Linked DNA regions of Ovis aries. The protein of the gene in region 4 interacts with the protein of the main gene of each other region in a biochemical or structural test. Links are inferred from orthologs where the notes say so. Each region holds a gene or a part of one and is shown on either strand. Other genes may lie near its edges. The genes, in order: UBE2J1, UBE2J2, UBE2T, UBA1, UBE2A, UBE2B and UBE2E2.

Region 1 (4,264 bases), on a different chromosome or scaffold from region 4:
TAATGAAAGGGCACAGGGAAACAGGGATAAAGGTTGTTTCGAAGATTTGTTAGTACCTCCTCCATCAACTTTCTCAGACACTGGTGGCTCAGGCCATAAAGAATCCACCTGCAATGCGGAAGACCTGGATTCGATCCCTGGGTTGGGAAGATTCCCCTGCAGGAGGGTATAGCAACCCTCTCCGGTATTCTCGCCTGGCAAATCCCCTTGGACAGAGGAGCCTGGTGGGCTACAGTCCAGGGGTTGCAAAGAGTCCATGGGGTCGAAAGAAGACACAACTGAGCGACTAAGCACAGCACAGCAAAAAAAATGTTTTAAAAAACGTGAATTTCCCTTCAGTTCAGTTCAGTCACTCAGTCGTGTCCGACTCTTTGCGGCCCCTTAGGAAACGATAAATTATACTCTATTTTCAGAGATTTTCTTGTGCCTGCTCTTTCTCAAAAATATTCAGCTCAAGATAATCCTTATGCCAAAGAGGTATATTTTGGGGTGGCATATTGTTACCTTTCAAAAAGAAAGTTTTCTATTTTTATATAACAAAATAAAATTTGCCCAGCCTGGTTAACCCTCTTCATTCCACATAGAATTCTCTCCTTCCCTCTTCATCCTCTCCGTCGTCCCAATCCCCCCTCTTTTCCTAAATCCTTGTCCCTTTTTACGTCTTTTTCGTGACGTCAGTTTCTACAATGAAGCCCGAAATGTGTTCTTTGAGGGGATACCTTTCATATATGTATGCTTCCGAACCCGATTCAATTCTTTTTAAAAAATCTCCCCAAATGCTTAACTAACTGCCTTGCACCCAAGCATATTTGTCTGGGGGAAAAAAAAATGTTATAAAAACCCTTCTCATTCTCTTATCACTGGATTTCTCCTTTCCTGCTTAACTGTTTCCACCTCAAACAGCTACCGATCTGAAAACAAAGCACTTGGCGTAGCCGGCCCACACGGGCGACGGGCTGGGGTGGCTCTGAACTGGTCTCGAGGACCTGGGCCCAGATCCACCCGCAGCGAGGGCGGTCGGGGCGTTTCGGGCCGCGCCTTTCCGCGGGAAGTCCCGCAAGCGCCTGGGGAGCCCGGGTGGGCCCGGGCAAGGCTAAGACCTGAGCGCCGTCCGCTCCTGCAGATCCGGGAGTGCGCTTCGCGGGACCGGGGAGGTGACCAGCGGCCGAGCCGCGCCCCCGCCACGAAGCGACTGCCACGTCAGGACAACTTCACAAAACCTGGGCGAGGGCGGGTGACGCAGGCCGGGCGGCCGTGGCGGCTTTGGGCCCGCGGCCAGACGAGGAGGCTGACCTCCAGCCCAGCCCCGGCTTCAGCGACACCCCGGCCGGCGCCGGCGCCTGCCCGGCCCTCTGGGAGGCGGGGGAGCAGCGCAGGAGGCGGCGCCACCGCGGAGCCCGCGCCCTCCCGCCCCGCCCGCAGTCCCGGCCTGGGCGGGGCGGCCACCGCGGAGGCTCCTCGGCCAGACCCGGTCGGCCCGAACCGAGTTGAGACGCGGGAGTCGGCGGCGCGGAGAGGCGGCGACGGCGGCGGCGGGCCGGGAGGCTGGAGCCGGGCCAGCCCCCCGCCATGGAGACCCGCTACAACCTGAAGAGTCCGGGTGAGCGGGGCTGTGGGCAGGGGGCGGTGCCGCACGGTGAGCGCGATGGGGGAGTGACCCCGGACCCCGGGGACCCGCGCCGCGGTCCCCTCGCGTCGGCCGCCACTCGCCGCTCCGCTCCCGGTTCCGCGCTCTACGCCAGCCCGCCGCCTGCCGGGCTGGTGCAGGCCGCGGAGCCGGGCGGGCCGGCAGGCACAAAACCTGGGGTCTCCCTTCCGCACCCCGACTGCCCTTCCCTCATTTTCGCCACGTAGAACTGGGTTATCAGCTCGTCCCCGAGAACAGGTGTAATGGTGACGGCCGTGAGTAATAGAAATAGAGATCAACCCCTTGCCCTACCTGCGCCTTGAACACGGTCGTTAGCTCTTCTCCGTCGCCGCCACCGGACTTTTATTAGCTGTTTGACTCACTCTCATTTGAGGATTTCGTTTAAACGTCCTGTTTGCAGCCTTTGGGGCAAATAGAATTACAGACATAAAGGAAATGTTCCGGACTAAAGCGGTTAACCAAAAAGCTAAGAAAACTAGTTGAGCCATGTACTTTAGAACTAACCAAGATTTTAGCCATACTGGTATGATGTATGTATGTCTCTGTTCAGGCATAGAAACTTCTCTTCCTGTCTTTAATACCCCTGCTTCATTCACAGAAGCAGCCAAACAATCCTAGCCTCAAATACTTTTCTGGTGTATAATAAAGAAGCGGGCTTCCCTGATGGCTCAGCGATAAAGAATCCGCCTGCCAGTGCAGGAGACGCGGGTTGCATTCTGGTCCGGAAGATCCCCTGGAGGAGGAAATGGCAACCCACTCCAGTGTTCTTGCCTGGAGAATCCCGTGGACAGAGGAGCCTGGCGGGCTACAGTCCAAGGGGTCGCGAAAGAGTCAGAAACGACTTAGTGACTAAACAACAAAATTAAGAAGCACGAAAAGGAAGCAGCTCTCAGATTAAGACAGGCTTCAAACAAACCTTTGGATTCTGTAAGTGGTATTGGATTTGTACCTTGATAAATTTGTTCAGAGGGAGAAACTCCACACTTCAGGTCTAAATAATCCTAATAAAGGATTTTAGTGATGGTTTGGCCAACCTTTATTGGTTCTTTTTTTTGTTTTTCCTTCCGAAGAAGCGACTTCTCAGTAAGAATCAGCAAGATTAACATGCTCATGGAGAGAGTTGATACTGTGAATCTTGGATTTTTTTTTAATGACTTAAAAACATAACAAAAACTGAAGAAAAGCCTGAGGATACTGATTGAACAGAGCTTTGTTAACTTGAGTTCTGTCAGGCTAAGAAACGTTCTCCGGTAACCAAGAATCAGTCATAACGTTTGGGGGAGCCATAGACTTAAAAAAAAAAAAAATCCGCGGAAGGGTCTGGACTCTCCAAGAAATACGTTTATAGGATTCAATTTCAGTGGATTCACCACCCCTGCCATCCTCAACCCATCTCCTAAGCCAGGGGGAATAAAGGGAGATGAAAGAGAACGAGGGAAAGAAAAGCTTAATTTTAAGATTAGATGGTGGAATGCTTAGAATGTGAAAATTGTGCTAGATTTTAATAAAAATATGTGGGGAAAATGTAGGGTGACTGTTCGGTCACATGGTACCAAGTTCCTTGAGACAGCCGAGGTATTTAGTGGAATGTCCAGAGAATAATGAAAATGAGTAATAGTGCAGTTTGGAATGGAGTGTTGGTGGGTCCCAAGAGAGTGTTGTCAGAGGACTTTGCTGAATTTTGATAGGTTATTGTACCCGAGACTGTGATAAGCTTTTAAAATTCTTAAGAATTCTTTTCTGTTTCTACACTGTATGACTTACTGTAAGGTAGGTACTGGTTGAGCTTTCTTTGGTAGACATGCTTCTAGCTGTATAATAAATTGCTTCGTCTTTTCGGTTTCATTTCCTCAGAGGTAGTGCTATTGTTCTAAAGAAGAGTTTTTTTAAACTTTTGGTTTAATTCTACAGATCATTTGGTGTTCACAGAAAAAGTGAATTAGCCGAAATATGGAACTTATTGAAAGTGCGGAAAGCATAGTGAAAATGTTTTCTTTTTTTGAAAATGTTTTTTTTGTTTTTTTTCTGTCTTGTAATACTTTTTAAGGTAATGAATGCATGAAAGGAAGTGGTTAAAAACGCTGCACAATGTAAGAGCTATAACCCTTTTTCTATCTGACGTGGAATTGTCTTAGAGATATGGATGGGACAATTAAGACAATACAAATAACTGGTTAAAGGCCAGTTTGTTAGCATATGGATAGTAAATTTGTTCATTTTATAGATGGAACAATGTATTTTTAATGATTTTTCTAGAATGGACCTGTGATAATGGGCAGAACTCTATGTGAGGTTACCTCTTAAGCCTCTGACTACCCTGTCAGTAGTTGCTTCTGGATCAGGCACCCTGCTCTCTTTTTTGGGTCTCTTCTGGTCTAAGTATCAGGGTCTCAGAGTACAAAGTAAGGGGACATAAAGTATAAAGAACTTCCTGTGGCAAGATTTCTTCAGAAGGGCCCTATCTGCTCGTTCAGCAGATGGTTGGCATATAAGAAATTGGTGCAAAGGCACCCATTACCTCCATCAGAAATATAGGAGTTACTCTATCCATGGGCTTCCCTGGTGACTCAGTGGTAAAGAACCTGCCTGCAGTGCAGGAGCCACAGGAGACATGGG
Region 2 (4,040 bases), on a different chromosome or scaffold from region 4:
GCCGGGGACCTCTGGGAGAGGGAAGTCACGCTCAGGGAAGAGCTGGCCCTGGACTCATCTAGGTGTGAGTGCGAATCACAGCTTCCTCAGTCATAGGCTGTATGACGTTGAACAAATTACTCAACCTCTCTGAGCCCGTTTCCTCAAGCACAAAGTGAGGCTGAGTTTCCTCTTGAGGCTTGAGACTCAAAGGTGAGACTAACCGATGCCATGGGGCCAGCGTCAGAGCCCCATCTTCCTGCTTCTGAGGAGGCTGCCCCAGAACCCACCTTTGGGAGGCCAGAGACACAGAGACTGTGTCCAGCGGCAGCAAGGCCAGCAGCCCCCTCCTCCCTTCCCTGCCTGACCCCTCTCCTGCCTCCCCAGGCTCTTCCAGTGACTGGAGGAACAGAAGGCACTGTCTGGGACCAGACAGGGCATCTCCAGCTCCTCACACAACAGGGGCTCGTGTGGCTGCTCCTTAACAGCTGTGTGTTGAGAGAATTAGAGAAATTATTTAGGGCCCTATGTCCCCCACCCTCTCTCCAGAGGGATGGCTGGCCCCAGCCTGCTGAGCATGGCCCCTTTGAGCCTTCAAGCGGTGGCTTTCCCTGAAGCTGGACCTAGGGATATCAATGTGCCTCCTTCCAGACTGTGTGCACTCAGCACTTCATGGGACCCCTGGGCTCTACTTTCACACCCATGGGTGTCTCCACCCTCAGAGACAGCTAAGAGTTGTTCCTGGAAGGATTCTGGTGCAGCAGCCATGAAGTCTGAGCCAATGGGCTCTGCATGTGTGCCAGATTCTGGGAGCCAGGAGCATCTTCCCCAGCCTGGGGAGCTGGACCATCTGGAGTCCCTGCCCACGGGCAAGTAGGAGGCCTCCTTGGTGCTATTGCAGCGCCTCCCTGTCCCCCAGGCGCTGACTGCAGTGTCAAGCAGGGATTCCGGCCACCACGGAGGGGGCTCCTTGAGGTACTGGCCACTGGAGATGGGCCGAGTGTGTGATGTTGCCCGTGTGGGGCTCAGGGTCTGGTCTTGTGTCTCTCTCACACCTGTGCTTGAAACACCCAGCGCCTCAGGGCAGCCTCCCTTACATAACTCTCCTCGAGCTAAAAACAGCTGGGCCCGCCCTGCGTGGGGATGGCAGAGCCTGGAGGAGGCAGAGGAGAGAAGGAAGCTTGAGATGTTTTCTGGGTGTGGCAGCAGGAGGTGGGGCCTGGGACTGTCAGCCTCCCCATGAGGAAGGAGGGCCAGGGCCAGTGAAGCTCACTCGCAGCAGGAGGAGGTAGCAGGCTGCTTCCCCGTGGCTGGCTGGCCTGGTGCTGGCCTGAGGGGCGATGGGCACTTCTGTTTCTGCCCCTGGGCCTGGGCCAGCACTGCAGTGACTGGTAATATCTTGTCTGAGGTGCCCCGGGTGGGCCAGATTCAGTGGCGATCATGGCCCCCTGTCTGCCCTCTGCCAGTAGCCATGGCTGGACCTGTCGGAGCTTGGAGTCCACTGTCAATCGTCATGTGGTTAGTAACCCCACTGACCGGTGGTGTATACTGAGAGGCAGTCAGGGTTGTGGTCAAGGGTGAGACTTTGGGGTTTGAACCCCAGATCTGCCTAGCGACAGCCTCTCTGGATTAGTCCCAGCTGATGACCAAGGCCTGTCTCACAGTCAGTGCAGCGTCTGCCCTGGCACAGCCCTGTGGGGGCACACCCCAGACCCCACTCACCAGGAAGGGTGGTGAGGAGAGTGCTGGCCCGCCCGCTGCCCAGCCCTCCCTTACCCAGACCCCCCACCCGAATGCCATCCTCACCTGCTCGGAAGTGTTCCCCCAGTGCTGTCCCAGAGACTCTCTGCTCCCCAGGGACTTCCCTGGGTTCCCCACCTCCCTGCTCTGCCTCCCCCTCCCCCAGGGCCTGGGAGGGGACCGTGGGAGCAGAAAGTGAGCCTCAGTGCAGCGGCCACTGCTGCATAATGACCCTATTCATGGGCTAGGCGGAAAATTCAGCCGGGAAACAGTGCAACTTTTTATGAGGACAGCTTTCCCCCTGGGCAGGGGCTGGGCAGGATTCCTACGCCGGACCCCACCTGGCACAGGTTCCAGTGGGGCTCCTGGCTCCACAATCACTGCGGTCACACAAGGTCACCCAGGATTCGATTCTCAGGGACCCGGGTGGTTCGGTCGCCGGGGACGCGGACTGCCTCCAGCGCTTCCCTGTTGAGTGGGCATAAGAACTGGGTCCTCCAGGCGGGACTGGGCCGATTCTTTGGAAGGGGGCGGTGGGAGGGTCAAGGTACCAGGGAACTTGGGCGGGGCTCATCCCGGAACCTCGGGGGTTACCCTCTAACTGGGCCTGTTTTCCCGCGGAAGGCAGGGGATCATGAGGAGGGGAACGTGCAGGGTGGGGGGACCGGGAGCTCTGCGACCGCTGACAGCGATGTGGCCGAGGGACCAACAGGACGGCCAGCCGTGGCTGATTGGACCAGACCTGCCTGAGCTCGTTCTCCGCCCCTCGGAGCTGTCTGTCAGTGCGCATGCGCCGACTGCTTCTGCCTCCCGGGAAGGGAGGCGACAGCGAGATGCAGGCAACCTCCGCCTGGCCGTCTAGAGCGGCCGCCTCAGCTAACCGCGCCCCGGAACTGGAAGCGCGACTTACCCCGCCCCGTGGGCGGCCATCTTGGAAGCTGAGGCGGCAGCAAAAGCGGTGGCGGCGGCGGCGGCGGCGGCGGTAGCGGCTGCGGTCGGGTGGGCTCGCTCCCGGCGCGGTGCAGCTCTGCGGCGCGGGCCCCACTCTCCGCTCCCTGCTCCGGCCTCGACCACGGCGAGCCTGAGCGCGGCGGCGGCCCACGCGCGGCGACGGGGAGAGGTGAGCGTGCGCCGCGGGCCTCCGCCGGGGCCTCTTCCTCGCGTCCGCCCCGCCGGAGCCGGCCCGAGCGGGGAGCGCGGGGCCTCCGCACGGCCCGTCCTCGCTGCGTCCGCGCTCGCGGGGCCTGGCCCGGAGCTTCTGTGCGCGGAACCCGAGGTCGGTTACAGCGGGGCGCCCGGGGCTCCGGGCCGGGTCGTCCCCCCTCCGGCCAACTTGGGGATTCGGGTGGCCACACGGCTGACGTCCCATGGAAAGGCTCCCGTTAGTGGCACACTTGCGGGCGCCGCCAGGACCAGCCGGCGTAGAGCTTGGTTTGTAAACGTATCTTGGGAATCGGTGTCGGGGTGGGCTGGCTGCCGTTGAGCCCGCCGCCGCCGCTTCATCTCGATCAGTTAGGACCCCAGAACGCCTCTTAAGTTCCCCGAGCCATGAACATCTGGGGTGGAAACAAAATTCGGGCGGTCAGACTGGGAAGCTCCATGCTGGGTGGCTGGAGAGGGCCCTGGGCCGGCTTCTCGCCTATGCCTGCCTGCTCTCCCCTATGCCTGCCTGCTCTCCCCGTCTGCCAGTTACCTGTCCCGATCCACCCCTGGTCAGGTGTACGCTTCTCGCCCCCTTCCCAGTTAACACCACTTATCTGGACTATGTTTAGTTCACATCCATTCTCAAACTCACGCCGGGCCCAGCCTGAAAATGCTTAGAAAGGTCCCCGGGCAGCCCCCAGGGAGTTAATGAGGGCTTGAGAGTTCTCTGGGCAGTGGTCAGGGCTCTGTTATCTCTAGGTGAGGGGCCCTCGGTGTAACTTTAGGGTCTTGCTTACTTGAAAAGCCCAGCCTCTCTGCAAGTACTGTTGGATGCCAGTGCCTAGAGCTAGCACTCTGTCATCTGCACACCTTAGCCGAGCCGACCTCTGTGCAGGTGCGGGAGTGGCACGTGCGGTGGCCCCCCGTCAGCTGCGGGCCTCCATCCAGCCTGTGAAGCAATCCCACTGGTGAAGGGAGAGACTTCCGTGGGAGTCCTGGGCACGGGGGTGTCACGTGCGCTCTGGTGGGTCAGACCAAGGTCTCTGGGCGGAGAGAAAGGAGCCGAGCAGGCAGTGCTGGATGAGGGGCGAGTCTGTGTCCACGTAGTACTGAAGGGACTCTTGCCGGGATGTTGGTTCAGGCTACTGGCCTTCAGACTGTCTGCCCTGAAATTTTGT
Region 3 (4,067 bases), on a different chromosome or scaffold from region 4:
CGCCCATGGGACTCTTTCTTTCTTTTCCCTGTTATCCCGTTTTTTCTGTGGTTCCCCAAACTACAGGTCTTTGCTTGGTTCATCATACCATCTCTCCTTTCCACCAGAGTTAGCATGGTGCCTGATTCGTCTAAAGGACGTGTTAAAGATTTCCAGGCTTCCCTGGTAGCTCAGCTGGTAAAAAATCCGCCTGCCATGCAGGAGAACCCAGTTCAATTTCTGGGTCAGGAAGATCCCCTGGGGACGGGATACGTTACCCACTCCAGTATTCTTGGGCTTCCTTGGTGGCTCAGCTAGTAAAGAATCAGCCCGCAATGCGGGAGACCTGGGCTCGATCCCTGGGTTGGGAAGATCTCCTGGAGAAGGGAGCGGCTACCCGCTCCAGTGTTCTGGCCTGGAGGGCTACAGTCCACGGGGTCGCAGAGAGTCGGACACGACTGAGCACAACACAGCCACAGCACGTTCTCAGAAAACCGCCGGAGGAAGGAGTTAACTTCAGTTCCGAAGACAGAACAGCAATTGCGACACAGTTATAGCTGAGGTGGAAAATAAGGAACCATGCTGAAGAGATCAAAATAGAAAGTATCAGTAGTAAGACAGGCAGCCAACTCCAGCGTTAAGACGGAAAACACGTCCCCGCAGTGAGTGGGCGCTGGCAGTAACTGCGGACCGACAGCTGACTGGACAGGAACGGGAGTCCCGTGTGGCTCGCGGCTCCCGGCGGGGCCCGCAAGCCCGGGGAGCACCGCGCGCCAGCGAGGCCGAGAGGACGCCCACGCCGCGGCCACCCGGAACCACGGCTACTCAACGCCGGTCTGGGCCGGCAGAGGTCCCGACTGGACCGCCCGCGGGAAGGTCCAGCAGGACCGGCCGCTCCTCCCGCTGCCGAGCCGGAGGCGTGGCGGGCGCGGCCCGATCGCGGCGGAGGCCCCAGCGCCGGGCGCCCCCAGTCGGAACCCCGCTCCGAACGTCCGGCTCCTCGGGCTCTCAGGTCTCACGGTCCTGTGGCGGCAGCCCCACCGCGCGAACACCCGGACGGCAGTCCGCTCCGGCACAGACCCTCCCGGCCCCTCCCAGCGCGCCTCCTCCCGGGCCAAGCGAGCCAAAGACTCGACGGTCCCAGCCAGCCGCGCTCGCGTTCAAAGCGCGGGGGCGGGGCCCGCCCGGAGCCCGGCCAATCGGAGGCTGCGCGCCTCCCGGGCGGCGCTCCGGACCAATCACAGCCTCCCGGGCGGAAGGCGGGGCAAGGCAGCGGCTGGGCTCGCGCAGGCGCGGTGCCGGCTGCTCGGGGCTGTTGCACTGCGGGGAGCGACCGCGCAGGTGAGAGAGGCCGCGGGCGGGCGGGGTGGCGGGGTTGGGGGCGCCTTCTTTCCGCCTGACTGCGGAGCCTCCTCTTCTCCGACTGTCGCTTGTAGAACGGACGCTCTGCATGTCTTGGCAGCGCGGTTGGCGCTCTGCCCCGGCCCGGCCCGCGCCCCACCGCCGCCCCAGCCGTTTCCCAGCCGCCACGCCCACCGGTTGCTCCCGGCCCCCCCCCCCCGACGCTCATTAATTGTTATATTTGTTGTTTTATCCTTGCTGATTCCCAGTGCCCGCTTACTGAGAGGAGCAGTCAGGGTCAGTGTGTAAACGGAGCTCAGTCGCTCAGCCGTATCTGATTCTTTGCGACCCCATGGACTGTAGCCCGCCAGGCTCCTCTGTCCGTGGGATTCTCCAGGCAGGAATACTGGAGCGGGTTGCCGTGCCCTCCTCCAGGGGAGCTTCCGGACCCACGGAGCCACGCAGCGTCTCCCGAGACTCCTGGATTGGCAAGAGGATGCTTTACTAGGAGCGCCACAGTGTATAACAGTAGTTAACTACCCAGGAAGATAACCGGGTCCCAGAGATGATATGATGGTCCTCAAGACGCGGATGAAGAAACTTGGAATAATTGACATGAATGGCTGTTGTAGTGATTAGTTCTAACATACTAATTTGCCTGTAGTATTGCTAATTCTGGGACTTCCTTGGTGGCTGAGTGGTAAAGAATCCGCCTGCCAATTCAGGAGTTGCGGGTTCCCATCATCTCTGGGTCAGAAAGATCCCCTGGAGAAGGAAATGGCAACCCACTCCAGTATCCTTGCCTGGAAAATCCCGTGGATGGAGGAGCCTGGCGGCCTACAGTCCATGGGCCGCAGAGTTGGACACGACTGAGCGACTTCGCTTTAGAACTTCAGTGTTTTGTTTGTAGAAACTTCTCATTGTTTTATACTTTATTTTTAAAATGTGTTTGCTTGAATAGATAGCACGAGGGAAAAAACTCAAGACTCCTCAAACAAGCAAGTGATGTGAGGGCTGTCTCCTTCAGTGAATTGAGCCGGCACTAGAATTCACTGCTGCTGACCCTTGGCAGGCACCCCTCTTCTCCCCAGGATCCCAGCCAGTGCAGACTGAGTGCTTCTGCCTGAGGTCATGCAGAGAACATCGCGTCTGAAGCGAGAGCTGAGCCTGCTGGCCGCGGAGCCGCCCCCGGGCATCACGTGCTGGCAGGACGGGGACCGGATGGAAGACCTGCGAGCACGTAGGTGTCACCCCAGGCGTGCGGGTCTCGAGCCTGTCCACAGTTGCGCGGGGATGTGAACACCATCTGTTCCTCCAAATAGGGCACAAGTGCATCTGCCTGCCTCGTTTGCTGCCTTTATAAAAGGTCTCCAGGGCATTTCTTCTTTGGCCTTTTACCCCACCTCTTGCTGATTTATTTCCGAGACCTGAGCATCAGCTCTGAAGCAGTTCAGCACCACGGTTACGTCACCTTTACGTATCTGTGAGGCCAAACCAGGCAGCACGTGGTCAGAACGCAGCCGGCCTCCCAGCAGGGCTGCAGGTATCTGTCGCCTGTGGCCAGATCTCCCACGTAGCCCTTGGGTGACACCAGCCCGGCCTGGCGCCTCGTGTGGGGGCTTGTCAGACCCTGAGAGCTGTCCCAGACCTAGCATCCCGTCAGGACCAGGCGGTGAGCTGCTTCAGGCACCCAGTTACCTCTTCACTGTTTCTTTTTCTTTCAAGAGATACTCGGTGGAGCCAACACACCTTATGAAAAAGGTGTTTTCAAGCTGGAAGTTCACATTCCAGAGAGGTCAGTGTGAGCTACATTCACATTTCCAGGCTAAACCAGTTGCTGGAAGACAGCAGTGTCGTGGAGCGTCGCGCACAGGGCTTACGGGGCCTGGATCTCGGTCCTCATCTCCTCAGGACTTCCTGTCACCTCCAGCACCTTCTCTTTGGAGTTCAATCTCTTTTTCTTAAACCTGGGTTAGATCACATCTAACACCACCTCCCCTACCCTGGGCTTACCGTTGCACTAACACACAAAACATTGTGGTAACACACTCGTCACTGCAGTAACACACACGTCACTGCGGTAACACACACGTCACTGTGGCAACACACACGTCACTGCAGGAACACAGACAGAAACTGACCACTCACACCCTGTTTAAGTGAATGGTTTTGGGGCGTGGATGCACTCCACTGTTGTCCAGCCACCCCAACCCATCCATCTCAGGAACTTTTTCTTTCCCAAGCGCCAGCCCTCTGTCCCCGCCCGGCCCCCGTGGCCCCGGCCCCCCGGCCTGTGTGGAGGCCCTGTTCATGCGCGTGTGCTGTAAGACTCTCATCAGGGGCAGTGGTTGTAGTTTGTGGTTTGTAGACACCTGTTCACAGGCCAGGTTTGTTACAAGTCCCAAGAGAAGCAGGTCAGTAATCCCAGGGATGTCAGTTCTGAGACACACAGGGGTTTTCCAAGGTGTGTGTCTCGCCAGAGAAAGAGTAACCAGGTGCAGTGTACAAATCAGCATTGGGCCCTGTTTTTCAAAATCCACCTGTAAAAACCTGCAGCCGAGACTGAGGAAGCCCGAGCGGCAGGTGAGACTGAGGGGTAACCTTTGTTTTTTTCATGGGTGTACTGACAATCTTGCAGCTCTATAGGAGAGGGACCTTATTCTTGGGAGATCATGCTGAAGTATTTCAAGGGCTAGGGACTTGATCCAGGTGGTGGGTGAAAGGGTTTTCAGTACTGTAAATTTTCA
Region 4 (4,192 bases):
TAAAACATGGAAGCCACACCCCGATGCTCATGAATAATGAATAATCTTGCTGCAGCCTGGAAGCCAAGGAGACTGAGGCGACATCTCATGAATAATGCATAAGGTGGGCAAGGACAAAAGAGACAGGTCCGCCCACTGCTGCATCTGATACCCTGTAAACAGAGAAATAGGGCTAACACAAGAAAACACTCTCACTGGCTCATGAATAATGAATAGTGATACTGCTGCAGCCCAACCTGGAAACTCAAGAGAGGTCAAGAAAGGTCCCACCCAGTTACTGATGAATTATGCATGAGGCTGGATGGACAGAAATACTCCAGCCAGCCCTGCCCAGCAAGTAAGGATTATTGTATTCCAGCCAAGGCAACGTGGTCACCGCTTCCTGTTCATGAATAATGAAAGATGCTGCAGAGCCGCAGGGGAAACCCACGGGGAAGTGGAGCTGCCTCCTCCCCACCGTTAACTAAAAGCACGTGAACCAGAGCTGCTTTGGTCCACCCAAATCCAGGTTTACTACCTGCGTTTGGCAGTTGCCTGTTTCTACAACCGTAAAATGGGGGTAGTAGTAGAATCCACCTACATCATAAAGGCAAAATGTGTCACTATGAAAACCAGAGAGTATAAACTATGAAATTAACTCAGAGTAGTGCTGGCACAGAGCGCTGTTACATTTTTAAAGCATTATATATTAATGTAAAGGTAACATGTAAATATAATATTTTGTATTGATATAAAATTAGTTACAGGTGAAGGTATACCCAGACACCAGAGAAACCCCCAACTTGGGGCATTATATAAAAAATAATGCCTTGAAACACCCTTCCAGATTTACACTGTAAAACAGAGCACTAAGGCCACCAATGTTCATTAAATAGGTAGCACAGACTACCAGGTCACCAGAGACACAACTGTATACCAAAGCCCCAGGCACACGATAAACACCCACTACATTTCTTTTTAATAATAACCAATCGCCTGCCATGTGGTGGTTCCTTTGGTGAGTCCTTTCCATGCGTTGTGCCACTAGTCTCAGGAATGCAGAGCAGGGAATCACTTCCTTCAGGTCTCAGGTCAAAGGAGACCTCCTGAGTTCTCAAATCCTCACAAAAAATCAGTTCCACCCATCGATGACTAGCTTTGTGACCTGGGACCAGACAGTTCTCTGGGCCACTGTATCCCCACCCATAAAATGAGAACAATAGTAACCTACCTTGTGATGAAGTTTAAATGAATAAACATGTAGAAAGGGCTCAGAACAGTGCCTGGCCACCTGGTGCTATATGACTAAAAGTAGTAGTAGTAGTAGTAGTAGTAGTAGAAGTACCAGTGAATTGGGTGGGTGGGAGAGAGACATTATGGTATTTAAGACTACAGACTCTGGAACTAGACTAACTGGATTTCAATCCTGGCTCAGCCACTCACTAACTGTGAGTAACCTTAGGCAAATTACTTAGCCTCCTGGTGTCCCAGTTTCCTCCTATAAAGTGGGACGATAATAACCTACCTCCCAGGGTTGTTGTGGGGATTAAATGGTCTAATAAGGCTGCTAAATGAGTGCAAACTAACCTGATCACCATTATGCTCAGACTCATTTTTTCAAGTTCACAGATCTGCCAAAGATCACACAGCTGGCAAGGATAGATGTGACTTGAATCTAGAGTCTTTGTTGATAATCTGGGATTATCGGGCCGCAAAGAATGAACAATGCGCCAGGCCTCATCCCTTCGTGAGACGCAAAACTTTTAAATCCTGAAACCTCTTAAGGAAAAGCCAACAGCGGATCGTGCCGTTGAAGCCCTAAAAGCTACGCCCCTCATGAATTATGCACAATGCCCCTAGACAAGCCACAGAAAACTCGGGCCGCTACTCACCTTCTTAGGCTTTATCAGTGTGATCTAAATTTACCCGGCAGACTGCAAGGCGCCCCTTTCAGCACGCCCCTTAAGCACAATGAACCGCTCCCTTGTGAATAATTCACAAGCTGATACTTCCAACGAACCAGGTGCGAAAAGGGCCAAAATGGTCTTCCTCAACAGCTCATCTCCTCACGCATAGCGAATAAAGCCATGGCAAAGGAAAGCCGGTGACACTCTGTCCCCTCGGAAGAGCCTAGCACGCTAGGCTCCAGCGTCCCTTCTACAGCCTGGGCTGGGGGCTCCTCTTCCTAAAACAACATGTGGGCCTCAATGTGTCCGGTCTCTCAGCCTTTAATACCCAAGCGCGGTGAGACATCATAATAGAAGCAGAGGTCACAAAGGCCATTAGATATCTCCACATGCCACGTCGGTCCCGCCTGTTCCCACCGTCACCAGGACCCTTCCTGAATCAAGCCCTTCCCAAATTCCGCCTTGAGTTCAGGAACCTCAAACTTTGCCTCTCCCCTTGGGAAGCACACCAAATCCTACCTCACTGACAAGAGTATTCATACACGGATCCTAAGGGTCTCCCCAAACATCCCCCTAAACCCAGTCTCTAAGGGGTATAAACCCTGCCTCCGAGGGACGCTCAGAAAACAGACTTCAAAGTCCCACCCCGGAGTCCCTAACGCCACTTGCGTCCCCTCAAAAACAGCCACCTCTAAATGCCACACGGGGCTCAGAGCTCCCAAATATGCCCCTTCGAGGATCCCAGAAATTGAGCCCCCTCCTTCGAATGCTGTTCGGGGGACTGGGGGGAACCTTCATCCAGCTCACCCCCTGTGCCGGGCGGAAGCCTCGCCTTCCTGCTGGAGATGAGCCGAAGCCACGGGGCAACGGAAGAGCAAATCACCTCAGGCGTAGAAGAACCAGAGTTTGCGCTGAGCTCAGAAGCGCGGGGCCTTGAGGGGGCGGGGGGCCGGTTTGGGACGTACCACAGATGCCAAGCTAGAGGGGAGCCCTCCCCTGATCCTGCTCTCTTGGAGCCTGTGTCAGACCCAGACACCCCTATGAGTTGTGGTACTTCCCAAACGCGCGAGGCATGCTGGGGGTCGTAGTCCAGTTGGGCCGGTGCCTGGTGCACGTGGTGGGCAGGAGCGCCCAGGGTACTGGAAAATGTGAACCTGGGCTGTGGAATTCCGGGAGCTGTACTCAGGGGGGTGGGGTGGGTAGGAAAAGGAATCAGAACACGGAAATAACTCCAAATGGAAAGGCACATTCATCCTACAGATGGAAAAGCTGAGGCTCAGGTGACCAAAGGAGTTCATTCATTTGACACTTATAGAGCTCAAACTGTGGGCCAGGTGCTAGGCATCTTCCTTGCTCTCAGGGAGCTGACAGACTAGAGAGACAGCCCATAAATGTAAAAATTTTATCTAATAAAATGTATCAATATTTGTAAATGTTACATGATAACTAGTATCAATATGTAAATAATTTACATCTGTAGGGAATTCCCTGACAGTTAGGACTCCGTGCTTTCACTGCCCAAGGCTCAGGGCAATGACTGATGGGTCAGCTAAGATCCTACAAGAGAGCAGTGTTGCCAAAAAAAAAAAAAACCCTACATATATAATAAATATATACACACTGTGTATAGTCTATATTCATATGTGAATATACAATTAAATAGACATGTAAATATGTGTTGTGTATATGTGATAACTACTACGGAGAAAAATAGAACAAGGTAAGGGGAAATTAGGCTTCCCAGGTGTCGCTAGGGGTTAAGAACCCACCTACCAGTGAAGGTAGACATAAGAGACACAGGTTTGATCCCTGGGTCTAGAAGATCCCTTGGAGTAGGAAATGGCAACCCACTCCAGTATTCTTGCCTGGAGAATTCCATGGGCAGAGGAGCCTGGCGGGCTACAGTCCATGGGGTCTCAAAGAGTCTGACATGGCTTAAGTGACTCAGCATGCACAAGGGGAAATCTGTGGGGGAAGGTTGCATTTTTAGGTAGTCTGGTTACAGAAGGCCCTCCAGAGAAGGTGTTGCTCCAGCCAAGGTAATTAACACAAAATGCCTTTATCACCTTATCCCAAATTCTGTATCACATATCCTGTCCTCAAATCCTCCAAATTTGCTCATCTGAAAAAGATTCCTTGAGTGCCTACTAAGTGCAGGGCTCCGGGAACATAGCAAAGAACACAGCAAGGAGACTCAGTTCAGTTCAGTCACTCAGTCATGTCTGATTCTCTGTGACCCCATGGACTACAGCATGCCAACCTTCCCTGTCCTTCTCCATCTCCCGGGGCTTGCTCAAATACATATT
Region 5 (4,003 bases), about 57 Mb from region 4:
CAAGTCCTGTCTGTTTTTATTGTCATTGCCTGGTTCACTACCTCTCACCTGGAATACTTCAAGAGTCTTCTAATTGCTGTCCTGGGACCCGTCTCCAGTGAGTACAGCTCTGATCATGTTGCCTTTCTGCTCAACCAACTTCCAAGGAAGCCATCAGCTTGGCATTCAAAACTCTCCCTGAGTGAACCTAGACCTACTTTTCTCATATTTCCAAAAAATTCTTAAATGAGTATTTTGCCTACCTTCTATGTTATTTGGAGTTGACCTTTTTAAAAAACATTCTTTAAAACTGTTATTGCTTTTGCAGGTCCACATACTAACTGTGACTCTTCCCTGCAACCTACAGCTTTTTCACGTGCATCTTACCGTTCCTTTTACTTCAGACTCACTGCTCTTCCAATTCTCTGCAATCGGATATTCTCATACCCTTGGACTCTTCTGAACATATAGTAGCCACTTGGCTTGTTGAACTGTCAAGGGGAAATGTGGTTCCAGAGCCAAATTGTGAGTGCCCAAAGCTAAAGCCTCATTCTGCTTGCCTCCAGCTCTCATTCCCTCCCCCAGGACACACATCACCATTTCATTCTGCTTTGGGGGTGATCATCGGCCTAAATGTTGGGGCCCGCACATTCATCCCATAGAGAAGGGACCCTCGACCTCACCATCGAGGTCGATTTACTCTTTGGATGTTCAGTGATTTTGACCAGTCACACAGCTTCCTCCCCAGTTTCCCGTGTCCGTAGGAGGTGTACCCCCTAGATTTCTGGCTTTAGGAGAACTGGTTTCGCCTTCATCCACTCTGTCCTCATTGAGATTGAGACTTCATCCTTCTCCCCCTCAGCCACTGTGCGCACTTTAATAAGTGATCTGATCTCAAAAAAAAAAAAAAAAAAGAAGAAGAAGAAAAAGGAAAAGTAGAAAAAAAGCTTCCCACGGTTCGTCTTAGAATTGGCAAGTGAAGGTGGACCGATTCCACCACCCGATCCTATTGAGTTCCCGGCAATTACATGAGGCCCGCAGCTTGCTTCTCACCCTCGCTCCCCCCGTCCCTCAGGGGTTTAATGACCTAAGCAACTTTCCTCCCCCCCCCCACCCCTGTCCCGTCTTGGTACGGTCTGTCCGGCGTTTGGCGTTCCACCCCCGTCGTTTCCTTCCAGGTTGGTTCAGCCCCGGTCTACTCTGGGGTGGTGCTAAGCCGGCGCCAGATCGACCCTCGACTTAGGAGAGGCAGTGCGGTTCCTCTAGGCGGTTCTCCGTTGGTTCCTCCGGCTTCCTCAGCCTCCTCACCACCCGCGGGGACCCGAGAGCTCGGTGTATGCCCCACCCCTGACCCCGCTAGAGACATGTCCACCCCGGCTCGGCGGCGTCTCATGAGGGACTTCAAGAGGTAACCCGCCCGGGACTCTAGGGGCCGGGGGCTGCCGCCGGGGTACAGGGCGGGGCCGGCAGCGGGCCGGGCGGGCGGCGGGTTCAGGATAGCGGGAGGTTCCTGTGGTGTTTCCCTGTAGGTTACAGGAGGATCCTCCTGCCGGAGTCAGCGGGGCTCCGTCCGAGAACAACATCATGGTTTGGAACGCGGTCATTTTTGGGTGAGTCTGCGTTCCGGATGGTGGTGAGGGCCGGGGGACCCGTGTGCCCTCTGGGACCCACCCGGTGCGGAGGCGGGGACTGAGAGAGAAGGTTTGGGGCTCGTTGGGCCTAGGCGCCTCCCCGGAGCCTGTGCCTCGATTAGCTCGGTTCGCGCTGCCAGGGGAACCGTTTGGGGTTCGGAGGGGGGCGGGGCGGGGAGCGGTGGCGCTTCGGCCTGCCTGGGGTTTCTGAGCCCCAAAGCTCTATTGGTCGTGGCTTTGCAACCCGGGAAGCGGTGGTTTACCAGAGGTGGGGCGAACAGATGAACCGGGGAGAGAGGAGCCCCTGATGTGGGAACTGACTTGTTTCTCTCTGTGTTGTAGGCCTGAAGGGACCCCGTTTGAGGATGGTAAGAGAGTTTCTTTACCCACCTTTTGGGACCCTGATCTTCTGGGGAAAGTGTTTCCCAGTCAGCCTGGAAGTGCCTCCTACTTAATAACCCGCTTCTCCCTAGCCTTTGCCTGCTAAAGACTTGAGAGGAGTCCAGTCTGTGGCAGGTTGTTCTGGCTATTGTCCGCTTGACTAGAACTGCTGCTTAAAAAAATCTGAGTAAGGCAGTCACTTTTTAAAAGGAGCATAATACCACTGATGTTAAGGGTTTGTGAGGTTTGGGTTGTGATCTTGCTAAATTCAGGACCACCACCCCCTCCATCAGGATCAACCCAACCACTTGCTGATCAACTCGGAGACCCCAGGGACTGTCTGGTTCAGAATTCTGTCACAAGGGTGGGAACTGTGTTCAGCAGGTGCCTCATGTGTGGTGTTGGATGTTGAATGGATGCAGGAATCCCTTGCACACAACTGTCTGGTTTCTATAATCTGACATTGAGTGCTTTTCAGCCTCACTGCTTTAAAGTGGTCTTTAATGGCACCTTCAATAGCCAGTTCCTTGTTTCTTATTTTTAAATGAGTTTTCAGCGTGTGCTTTTATCAAGACTTTATGATCAGTAATCTCAAGGCAGTTTCACAATTGAGGGGAGCCTTAAAGTACTCTCTTACCAGTGTCCAACCTACTTCAAGATACTACACGTACTTACAGGTACATGATTTTTAGGTTTAGGTTTGACTTTTAAAAACACACTAAGTTGCTTTTTAAGGACTTTTTAAAGCTTCTTGTTTTGATATAATTATAGATTTGTGTGGAATTGTAATAAATAATAATACAGAGAGACCTTGTGTACCCTTCACCTGTTCCCCCCTCTCCCCTGGTAACATCTGGAATGACTGTGCACAACCAGGAAATTGACATAGATATAGTTTTATGTGCACTCAAATGTGTGTGTATGTGTGTGTATAGTTAATTGCTTTTGAAAGCTTAATGCATTTAAAAAGATGATTAAAAGTATTTGAACTACTGATTGACATCTTTAATATTTGAGGTATTTTTAAACAGAAAAGGGTCTTTCTGTTATTTATTTTCTTCTCAATGCCTTATATTCCTTTGGTCATATAGCCTTTGAGAGAAATCTGCACACATATGCACACACATATGCATACACCTCCATTTGAAGGTGGCAACAAAAGCATTTCTACAAACTACTCAGTACAAGCAAAGTTGCCAAGTCAGATTGCCTTTGGATGTTACCAACCACAGCATGTTGTGAGGTAAATGAATACAAACCAATTCTAGGATTCGTCTCAAACACTCAGATTTCCCTAGCAGATTGTAAACAGTAATCTAGGTGGTTTGTTTCTTCTCTGCCTTCACCTCCTGGGTAAATATCACTGTTCTTCAGTGCTTTGATAAAAAGAAATGACAGCAAGGGAGTATGATCCTGAAGGCATACTACTTTGGTGTGTGAGGTAAATCATTTGAACTGATTCTGATCCATAGCAGAAGCTAGCTAGGCTTAGTTTTCCTCCATTAGATCGGTTGCTGGTTCTTCATACTTAAGCTTTATGTGCAGATTAGCTGTGTATTTGCTTTAGCTCCAGCAAAGCAAATTATTTTCATTGGCTTCTTTTTTCCTCCTGATTTTTATTCGGACTGCTTTATGCTGGGCGCAACTTTATTAATAGTACATCGCTTTGCTAGGGGTTGGCAACTTAAATATTTCAAGGGTGCTTCTCTCGCTTTAAGTGGTATGAATTGGAGAAGTACTTATGGAATCCATTATCTACCTGGACCTTCCCCCTTGACATTACTGGTTCTATTTTTGATGATGTGTCTCTCCACCCTGACATTACTGAAAGGAATTACTCAGGCTGAATGACAGTACCCTTTTCTGATTCATTCTTTTGAGCAGTCTGCTATCCATGAATGCTTCCTCAGGTGTCTCAAACACTAACCAAGGTTACAAGAATTTTTTTGACCATTTAAAAATACTTGTTATTTATAGCTAGGAAATTTACTGGAAAGGCCCGATTAGGAACA
Region 6 (4,300 bases), on a different chromosome or scaffold from region 4:
TTACATTTGTCGGTGGGTATCTATCAAGTATTAGATCTGGCTAACTTGATTACCAAGGCATTTAATAAAAGCAAGAGAAAGAATTCAGGGATTGAAGAAAGAGAGGTACCAGAAAAGTAGGGGAAACTAACCCTTTCTAGTTCAATGAAAGTATGCCCAACGCCATATTCCTCATTCTGTCTTACTGTAACACCTTGGGTTGAGGAATCACCCAAATGGACTTAAAGAGCTCAGGGTTCAGCCAAAAAAAAAGTCTTTAAGAACAGAATTGGAGGCGATAGAGGAAGGAAACTCAATGACTAGAAATAATGTCAGAATTCCAACGGCCAGTATCTCTGAGCCCCGGTGGGGGACGTTTCAGGCTATTAACTTACTAGTGTTGAAAATCTGAAATAAATTACTCAGGCTAGATATACAACCCCTATCCACGTCTGCATGATCTCTCCCCCACATGTGAGTCAAACTTTTAGGTTTGGCAACTAGTCACCTACACTCTCTTTATACACACTCTCTATGATCAAACCTGCACATTTCTTGACAAATACAATGGTACCCCACTGTAGACCAATCCAAGGACTCTGACACAAAGCCTCAAATAAGAGCAGACTCATAAAGGATAAACAAAATTCCGTAATCCTGTGGGGATTGTAAACAAACATTAAACAATCTGTACACCGTTCTTTAATCTCTGCCCAGCATCGCCAACCCTGGAAACACACTGCAATGCTCATACAGTAATATTTGGTGGCCCTAAGGAAGCATTTCAGGGGATTTCGCTTTGTATGGGCCTCTGCATTCAGCTGAGGAAAACGGAGGTCCCTTCACTTTTCCTCAGATGCCAGATTTGATAAGCCATTGAGCCAACCAGAGGGGAGTTTTAAATCCAAATTATTTGGGGCTCTATTTTAAAGATTTAAGAAGCAAAACAAACTACTGCTTCCGACACAATCTCATCAATAGCTGTCCACAGGACAAAATGGAGAAAAAACATAAAAGTGCCTACCAGCCCTCAGCCCATAAATTTAACTACCGGGCTGAAAGACGGCTGAAAGTTAGATCCAGGAGACGCTCTCACGTGATCCGTCCTAATGGCGTCATAGGGACACGTGGTTCTAGATACTTCGTCCCCTCCCCCTCGGAGGTGGATTGTTGACAACGCCGCCGGCAGTCACGTGATCTTACGTCATCCTACCTCCTTTCCCTGAAATCTCTGGCCCCGGATGCGTCCCTCTCTCCCCACCCGGCTGAGCCTAAACTAGTGAAAGAGGGGGAGACGGGTTGGTGTTGTTTCAGTTCCGGTACTTCTTTATCACAACCTCCAGTCTGAGCATAAGGAACAGTAATTGGTCAATTCGTTCAAGGAGACAAAAGGGATAAGGTCCCTGGTGAAGGGGCCCCGTAACTAGCTCTCCTACGTCCCGTTCCCTTCTCCCCCACCCCTCACTGCATGGTACCGGCGGAGGGCGGAGGGATCTGGAGGCGGCGGAGGGAGACGTCATTGCAGGGTTGTTTGTGCAACCTCGGCAGCGGCGGCGGTGACCCACAGTGATTCGGCCGCCGCGCCGGGGGGTGGGGGGGCTGCGCGGGACTCTTTTCTTTCAGACTGACCGCGGGGCTGCTGGGGAGCATGTCGACCCCGGCCCGGAGGAGGCTTATGCGGGATTTCAAGAGGTAAGGGCCTTCATTTTCGCCTGAATGACGACTCCTCCCCGAAGCTCCGGGGCTAGGGTGGGGATCCGGGACACCTTCCCCTCTTGACCCTAAGAGGGCTGCTGTGGGCCCAGGGGGACAGATGGAAGCCCAGTTCCAGCCCCGCTTTAGCACTCTCTTCTCCTTGGTTGTTCACTTGTCCTACGTAAGAAATTTTGATACTTCCTCACCACCACCCTACCCCCACAAAAAAGTAAAAAGATGGCTATGGTTTGTCCTACGATTCCCTGCTGCCCACTGCGGCCAGTTGCCTGATACCTCGCCCTGGCTTTCAAATCTCATCCTTCGCCTCTGCACCCTGCGGTGCCTCTTCTCTCTGCCCTAAGAGCGAGCCCTTGCAGAAGCCTTTCCACCGCTAGCTACACCAGTCAGCTTTGTTCGATGGCCTTGCCGCCTTTCCGACTGCCAGGGTTGGGGCCAACCCCCGCCTCCCTCCCCATTCTTTCTGCAGTGAGGGTGGGGTCTGATGCGCGAGGGCCGGAGGTTGTTAACCCATCCTCCGAAACCCGACTCTTCCCCCCCCAATCCCTCCCCGCCCGCCTGAAAGGACCTTGAGAACTGGCTTAGAGGGCTGCGATTCGGGCTGGCAAACCCGGCTGCCAGTGCTTTCTGGAACTCAGCTCTGTGGCCTGGTGTGTAAAGACCTATCTATAGCCTCCAAGGTCTGGAAAAATGCCTTTCTGGAGGCTGGGGCTAAGCTGATACTCCCTGAGCCTCTTTTGTAAAATAGGGTTTTGTTAGATATTAGGGTTGATGAGGAGGAAGTGACTTTTTTCCCCCCAGTTGTTTTACTTTGAATGCTTACAGGTACGGAGAAGAAAATAACCAAGAAAACTTAGCGTTACGCTCCCGTGCGCATTTATAAGTGTTTTTCTAGGGAGATCTGCCCTGCTCGAGAGAAAAAATCCAGTGTAAAAACTTGGATTGGCTTATCAGGAAGTAACCTCTCAACTTCATTGTAAACCTTTAAATGAGGCACTTGGAAGCCATTGTTTGGGGCTTTGCCCAGTTTGGCCTTGAGTGTATTGGTAACTTAGCCTTTATCTTTGGTGGGCGATATCACGCCCCGTATCTTCCAAGGGTTCTTCTTTTCGTCGTGGCCTGTACTGCTTAAGGTTGACTAAAAGCCATTTTGGGGGACTAATTCCAAGAATCATATCACATGACGGTGTGTTTATGTGTGTGTGTGTGTGTGTGTGTGTGTGTATATTTAGTGTCGCGTTTACTTTTTTTCCTGAGATGACAGTTTTAAAAGGAGATACTCCTTTTTGTGCAAAACTCTGTTTCTACAGCTTGAAACCATAGATTTCAGATTAGCTCCCATGAGTGAAATTCCAATAATAAAATTTCGAGGTTCCTGGCCTTTGGTACCCTGGTTTCTCATTGCAGTTCTCTGCTTAATTCTGAGTTGTGTGCTTGGCACCTTCGGTAGTTTTCCAAGGGTCGTCTTTTGCAAGAGTTTGTAACAGGTGTTGGAAGGTAGCTCTGTATATGGGCGCATGATCTGAGAGGTAAAATGCAGTATTGGTGCAGAGCTTTTAAAATAGGGACTGAGGGAAAACCTAGCCAGAGCTTTGCTTACTCTAAAAGCTGCTGCTAACGCAAATGGAATAAAGTAGTTCTACTGCCCAAAACTAGTTTCCTGATTAAACTGGATGCAAGTGTTTTTCAGTCATTTAATGTTTACACTGAGGTGGGGTCTTTATATTTTGTTTGGGGGAGAGTTTTTTTGGTGGCCATGTTGCCCAAGTAGCTTTGGTTAGGACTCACACAGCCTTTGCATGTTTACAGTAGCAAAATTGATAGTTGAGTAAATAGTGTTTTTTTACACTTGAGGTTTTTCCTTTGTTGTTATTGTTAAAAGTAGTTCTTGAACAGATATCTTAACCTTGGTGATATTTGAAGAGGGATGACTCCCAAGCCATTTAAAGTGGTATGGTTTATTCCAGCTCAGCACAACAAGAAAATGGATTTAGTTTGTTTCTCAAAGTAGATGGTTGAAAGATGTTTGACTGGCCTTCTTAGTGGCCTTAATGTTCAACTTTTAAAATTTCTATTCTGGATTTCTAGATTGCAAGAGGACCCACCTGTGGGTGTCAGTGGCGCACCATCAGAAAACAACATCATGCAGTGGAATGCAGTTATATTTGGGTGAGTTGAAAGAAATAACAAATGGTAGGTATGGTGATTCTTTTAAGAAAATTGAATGTATAACAGCTAGGAAGGGAAACTTTCCTAGGGATGAGGGATCTTACAGAAACTGTAAGATTTAAAAAAAATTCTGATAGAGTTTTGGCAGTCACATAAAATTTGATTTTATAATCAGTGGGTTTTATTTGATAAAAATATCATTTGAGACTACAGGAGAATGATAAGTTTGTACAAAATGTGCCAAGCAAATGCTTAGTATGTATTCTACTAGAACTGTAAAAAGAGTAGGAACCAAAAATATTGATAACTTCCACCATAGTAAGAATTTAAATAAAAAATGTTTGACAGCTTAATGTGAAATAACTGTATGGAGCCTTTCAAGGTGCAGTCTTATATTTTACATATAGTATGTATTGCATGTAGGCGTATTTGTATAAGA
Region 7 (3,500 bases), on a different chromosome or scaffold from region 4:
AAAAAGAATTTTACTTCATTTAGGTTTTTGTGTATTTGTCATCTAATGGATTGCTTCTTGTTTAAGACATATAAAAGGATTTCTCAATCGTTTCGCATATCTCAAAATATTGCCAGCAGCGTTTTGCTGCATGTGAGGGCCTTTCCCTAAGAACTACTCTTTCTTACTCCCGTGCACAGCTGTTGTCACAGGCTCTTATGTATGTACTTACAAGGGTTTAAACTCATATTATTATTTTTTTACTCAAAGAAGTAAGCTGAAAAAAAAAATCAGCGTTAAATCCAAGGATGAGAATTCTAAGTAAAATAAAAATGAAAATAAGAAAGAAAGCAAGAAATATGATAGGCCTGTTCGAGCTGGATGTGGAACATACTGATATAAAACCTCAGGATTCTATTAAGTGACCCCAGTGCTCCAGCTGAGGAGACTGTTGTGCTCTATTTAAAGAGAGGGAAAGCCGACGGGTTTCCCCTGCTTCAGAGCTGTCTGGGCAGACCTGTTTTGTCTGGCGTGAAGAAAGGGAGCTGGTGAGGGTGATGGGGCTGTATCTTGTGATGTCTTATTGAAGGTATTCAGGATTTTCTGCTGGCTCTTCGCCCCCTCTGCTTCCCGCTTCCTCAGTTCTCTTTCAGGTTTGTCTTAACCTTTCTCATTTCAACCACTTCAAGTTCTGTGTTACGAAATCACTTTGATTTAGAGCAAGCTACAAGTGAAATAGAGCGAGCTATAAGTTAAATCTTGAGTGAGAAAGAATTTTAGTTATTGTCAGCTCACTCTACATTTGGACCAGCTGTAGTAATCAAACTGCTTTATTCGAGGCATCTTTCTTTTACATAGTAAGTCTTATTTTAAGTCTTAATTTGACTAAGAGCTACACAGTATCTTTTTCAGAAGGCATTTGTCCCCATTTACCTGGGATTCCTAAAGGTGTACTTTGTGTTGTTGGTGGCGCTCCTTAAAGGTAGTTCTGTGTTTTGCAGAGAGGCGCCCCAGAAGGTAGGCGTGCCAGCTCTGGTGGTGCTGAGGGGACAGCAACATGGTGACAGTCTGGGCATGGGTTTCGTCCGTTTGGTTTTGGATTTGTCAGTAAACTCTAAGCTAGTTGGGTCACAGGGGACGTCCTCATGGTAATAAGACTCAGAAATCAATGATGATAGAATGGTCGTTGCCAAGAGAGAACTGGAATTTTTTGTGCGTTATCTAGATTGTGACAGCTTACCCATGAACCAAGGTCCTGAGAAGATTGAGTTGGTGATCAGAGTTGCATGTGGAGCAAAGGGACTTTGAAAGCCTCGAGGTATATTTCATCCCGGCCGCGGCGGGAAAGATGGGCTCCTTCAGAGTCTCCATACAGTCTTCATCGCCTGTGAAGCCTGGTTGCTTGGTGTACTGTGGGATCAGGGCTGGCACCGACCTACGGTTCAGTTTCTGTTTATTTTTTTATTTTTATTTTTTATTATTATTATTTTATTTTATTTTATCAGTTTCTGTTTAGAATCATGGAGGCCTCTGCTATCACAAAGATTACTTCAGACAGTTGACTGACTTAGAGGATTTAACCTTAGCCCAGCCGGAGGATGTATTCATGCAGTATTGGTGCCAGTGTTTGCCCTATTCTCTGCTCCTGTGGCCATTTTTACTGACTTACAGCACCTAGCAAGTCGTCTTGACCTCTGAATCAACTTGCATATCCTAGGACCCAGGAGCCCGGCACAGTGCCTGGTGGGGAGCACAGTTTTATTTTTTTCAATAACGCTTTATTGACATGTAATTCATGTACTGTAAAATCCACTCTCTTAAAATGTATAGCTCGGTTTTTAGAATATCTAGAGTTGTGCATCACCATTATCTAATCCAAGAACGTTTCCATTGCCCCTCAAGGAAACTTTGCACCTCCTAGCTTTGTGCCGTTCCCCTTCTTCCCTCCCTCCCGGCCCCTGGCGATCGCTTACCTGACGTTTCCGTCTCCATGCACTTGCCCGTTCTGGACGGTTCGGACAAATGGAGTTGTACAGTTTGCGGCCCTTTGTGCCTGGTGTCTTTCACTGAACGTCATGTTTTCAAAGTTCATCCACGACGTAGCTTGCACATACGGTACTCCATTCCTGTATGTGGCTGGATGGCATTCCATTGCTCGGATATCCCACATTTGGTTTATCTGTTCGTTGTCAGCTGATGGGTAAATGAGTTGCTTCCTCTTTTTGGTTCTGTGAATAATGTTGCTGTGAACATATTGTGTATATATATTTGTTTTCATTTCTTTTCTCAATACATTTTGAATGGATGAAGGAAAAGTTTTGGCAGCTCCCAAAGCTGTTACGTAAAGTGACCAAGTCATTCATTTTATAGTGAGTTTTCTTTGGTTCCTGTAAGATTCACTTTCTCTCTGTTCTCGAGCGACCTTTCTGCAGTCCTCCCCCAACTGAATAAATTATTTGTTTTGACTCTTTAATCCAGGATCTAAAATGTCCACTGAGGCACAAAGAGTTGACGACAGTCCAGGCACTAGTGGGGGAAGCTCCGATGGAGACCAGCGTGAAAGCGTCCAACAGGAACCAGAGAGAGAACAAGTTCAGCCCAAGAAAAAGGAAGGGAAGATATCCAGCAAAACAGCTGCTAAGTTGTCCACTAGTGCTAAAAGGTACCTCGGTTATGGTAACTTCCTTGCTTTTAGTATCAATTTATGACCTGAAGTTCTATCTTTCTCTTGCATTTAATCATTTTTCTGGGATATGGACCATGAAGTTCATGGACTTTTTCTTCTTCAAGATTATTTCTTTTTCATGATTTTAATTGTATGCAGTATGAACTTTTTGGTATTTAAAGTCAATTAAACAGCATGGCAAAATTATAAACTACGTATCCGTAGTGTGTGTGTATGTATTGTTAGGTGAATATGAATAGGAAAGTGCATGTAAAGTGTGATAATTTGTTTTATGGTTCCTTAGACCATTACTATTTTAGTTTATTGAGCAGCAGAGAATAAAAGTGGGAGTCTATTGAAATAGTTACTGAATGATTATCTTCACTCACTGTTAGTAAAGTGAGAAATGCAGGAATTAATAACAATAGAATGGGAAAGACCAGAGATCTCTTCAAGAAAATTGGTATCACTTCAAGATACCAAGGGAACATTTCTTGCAAAGATGGGCACAATAAAGGACATAAACAGTATGGACTTAACAGAAGCAGAAGATATTAAGAAGAGGTGGCAAGAATACACAGAAGAGCTGTACAAAAAAGATCTTCAGGACTGAGATAACCACGATGGTGTGATCACTCACCTAGAGCCAGACATCCTGGAGTCCAAAGTCAAGTGGGCCTTAGGAAGCATCACTACGACAAAGCTAGCGGAGGTGATTAAATTCCAGCTGACCTGTTTCAAATCCTAAAAGATGATGCTATAAAAGTGCTGCACTGAATATGCCAGCAAATTTGGAAAACTCAGCAATGGCCATAGGACTGGAAAAGGTCAGTTTTTATTCCAATCCCAAAGGAAG

Evidence for each region.
Region 1: the proteins of UBA1 (region 4) and UBE2J1 form a complex in vitro, tested with the Homo sapiens proteins (2 studies listed by BioGRID, with this or other methods). The link is inferred for Ovis aries from reciprocal best matches to the Homo sapiens genes UBA1 and UBE2J1.
Region 2: of the proteins of UBA1 (region 4) and UBE2J2, one has a biochemical effect on the other in vitro, tested with the Homo sapiens proteins (2 studies listed by BioGRID). The link is inferred for Ovis aries from reciprocal best matches to the Homo sapiens genes UBA1 and UBE2J2.
Region 3: of the proteins of UBA1 (region 4) and UBE2T, one has a biochemical effect on the other in vitro, tested with the Homo sapiens proteins (4 studies listed by BioGRID, with this or other methods). The link is inferred for Ovis aries from reciprocal best matches to the Homo sapiens genes UBA1 and UBE2T.
Region 5: of the proteins of UBA1 (region 4) and UBE2A, one has a biochemical effect on the other in vitro, tested with the Homo sapiens proteins (6 studies listed by BioGRID, with this or other methods). The link is inferred for Ovis aries from reciprocal best matches to the Homo sapiens genes UBA1 and UBE2A.
Region 6: of the proteins of UBA1 (region 4) and UBE2B, one has a biochemical effect on the other in vitro, tested with the Homo sapiens proteins (10 studies listed by BioGRID, with this or other methods). The link is inferred for Ovis aries from reciprocal best matches to the Homo sapiens genes UBA1 and UBE2B.
Region 7: of the proteins of UBA1 (region 4) and UBE2E2, one has a biochemical effect on the other in vitro, tested with the Homo sapiens proteins (4 studies listed by BioGRID, with this or other methods). The link is inferred for Ovis aries from reciprocal best matches to the Homo sapiens genes UBA1 and UBE2E2.

Annotation. Positions count from the first base shown.
Region 1 is NC_056061.1:48,178,242-48,182,505, forward strand, and holds the start of UBE2J1 (ubiquitin-conjugating enzyme E2 J1), read left to right. Parts: upstream 1-1,464; 5' UTR 1,465-1,569; coding exon of another isoform or gene 1,570-1,600; intron 1,601-2,246; 5' UTR 2,247-2,575; intron 2,576-4,264. UniProt on the Homo sapiens protein: Catalyzes the covalent attachment of ubiquitin to other proteins. Functions in the selective degradation of misfolded membrane proteins from the endoplasmic reticulum (ERAD) and is essential for cells to recover from ER stress.
Region 2 is NC_056065.1:50,556,919-50,560,958, forward strand, and holds the start of UBE2J2 (ubiquitin-conjugating enzyme E2 J2), read left to right. Parts: upstream 1-1,240; 5' UTR 1,241-1,419; coding exon 1,420-1,497; intron 1,498-2,652; exon of another isoform or gene 2,653-2,839; intron 2,840-3,197; exon of another isoform or gene 3,198-4,040. UniProt on the Homo sapiens protein: Catalyzes the covalent attachment of ubiquitin to other proteins. Seems to function in the selective degradation of misfolded membrane proteins from the endoplasmic reticulum (ERAD).
Region 3 is NC_056065.1:79,694,581-79,698,647, forward strand, and holds the start of UBE2T (ubiquitin-conjugating enzyme E2 T), read left to right. Parts: upstream 1-1,267; 5' UTR 1,268-1,320; intron 1,321-2,281; exon of another isoform or gene 2,282-2,392; 5' UTR 2,393-2,451; coding exon 2,452-2,560; intron 2,561-3,045; coding exon 3,046-3,115; intron 3,116-3,457; exon of another isoform or gene 3,458-4,067. UniProt on the Homo sapiens protein: Accepts ubiquitin from the E1 complex and catalyzes its covalent attachment to other proteins. Catalyzes monoubiquitination. Involved in mitomycin-C (MMC)-induced DNA repair.
Region 4 is NC_056080.1:57,623,805-57,627,996, forward strand, and holds the start of UBA1 (ubiquitin-like modifier-activating enzyme 1), read right to left. Parts: upstream 2,801-4,192; 5' UTR 2,694-2,800; intron 1-2,693. UniProt on the Homo sapiens protein: Catalyzes the first step in ubiquitin conjugation to mark cellular proteins for degradation through the ubiquitin-proteasome system.
Region 5 is NC_056080.1:114,919,888-114,923,890, reverse strand, and holds the start of UBE2A (ubiquitin-conjugating enzyme E2 A), read left to right. Parts: upstream 1-1,203; 5' UTR 1,204-1,343; coding exon 1,344-1,387; intron 1,388-1,508; coding exon 1,509-1,589; intron 1,590-1,952; coding exon 1,953-1,978; intron 1,979-4,003. UniProt on the Homo sapiens protein: E2 ubiquitin-conjugating enzyme that accepts ubiquitin from the ubiquitin-activating enzyme E1 and transfers it to a E3 ubiquitin-protein ligase. In vitro catalyzes 'Lys-11', as well as 'Lys-48'-linked polyubiquitination.
Region 6 is NC_056058.1:43,581,272-43,585,571, forward strand, and holds the start of UBE2B (ubiquitin-conjugating enzyme E2 B), read left to right. Parts: upstream 1-1,500; 5' UTR 1,501-1,627; coding exon 1,628-1,671; exon of another isoform or gene 1,672-3,780; coding exon 3,781-3,861; exon of another isoform or gene 3,862-4,300. UniProt on the Homo sapiens protein: E2 ubiquitin-conjugating enzyme that accepts ubiquitin from the ubiquitin-activating enzyme E1 and transfers it to a E3 ubiquitin-protein ligase. In vitro catalyzes 'Lys-11'-, as well as 'Lys-48'- and 'Lys-63'-linked polyubiquitination.
Region 7 is NC_056079.1:42,012,424-42,015,923, reverse strand, and holds part of UBE2E2 (ubiquitin-conjugating enzyme E2 E2), read left to right. Parts: intron 1-2,457; 5' UTR 2,458-2,465; coding exon 2,466-2,641; intron 2,642-3,500.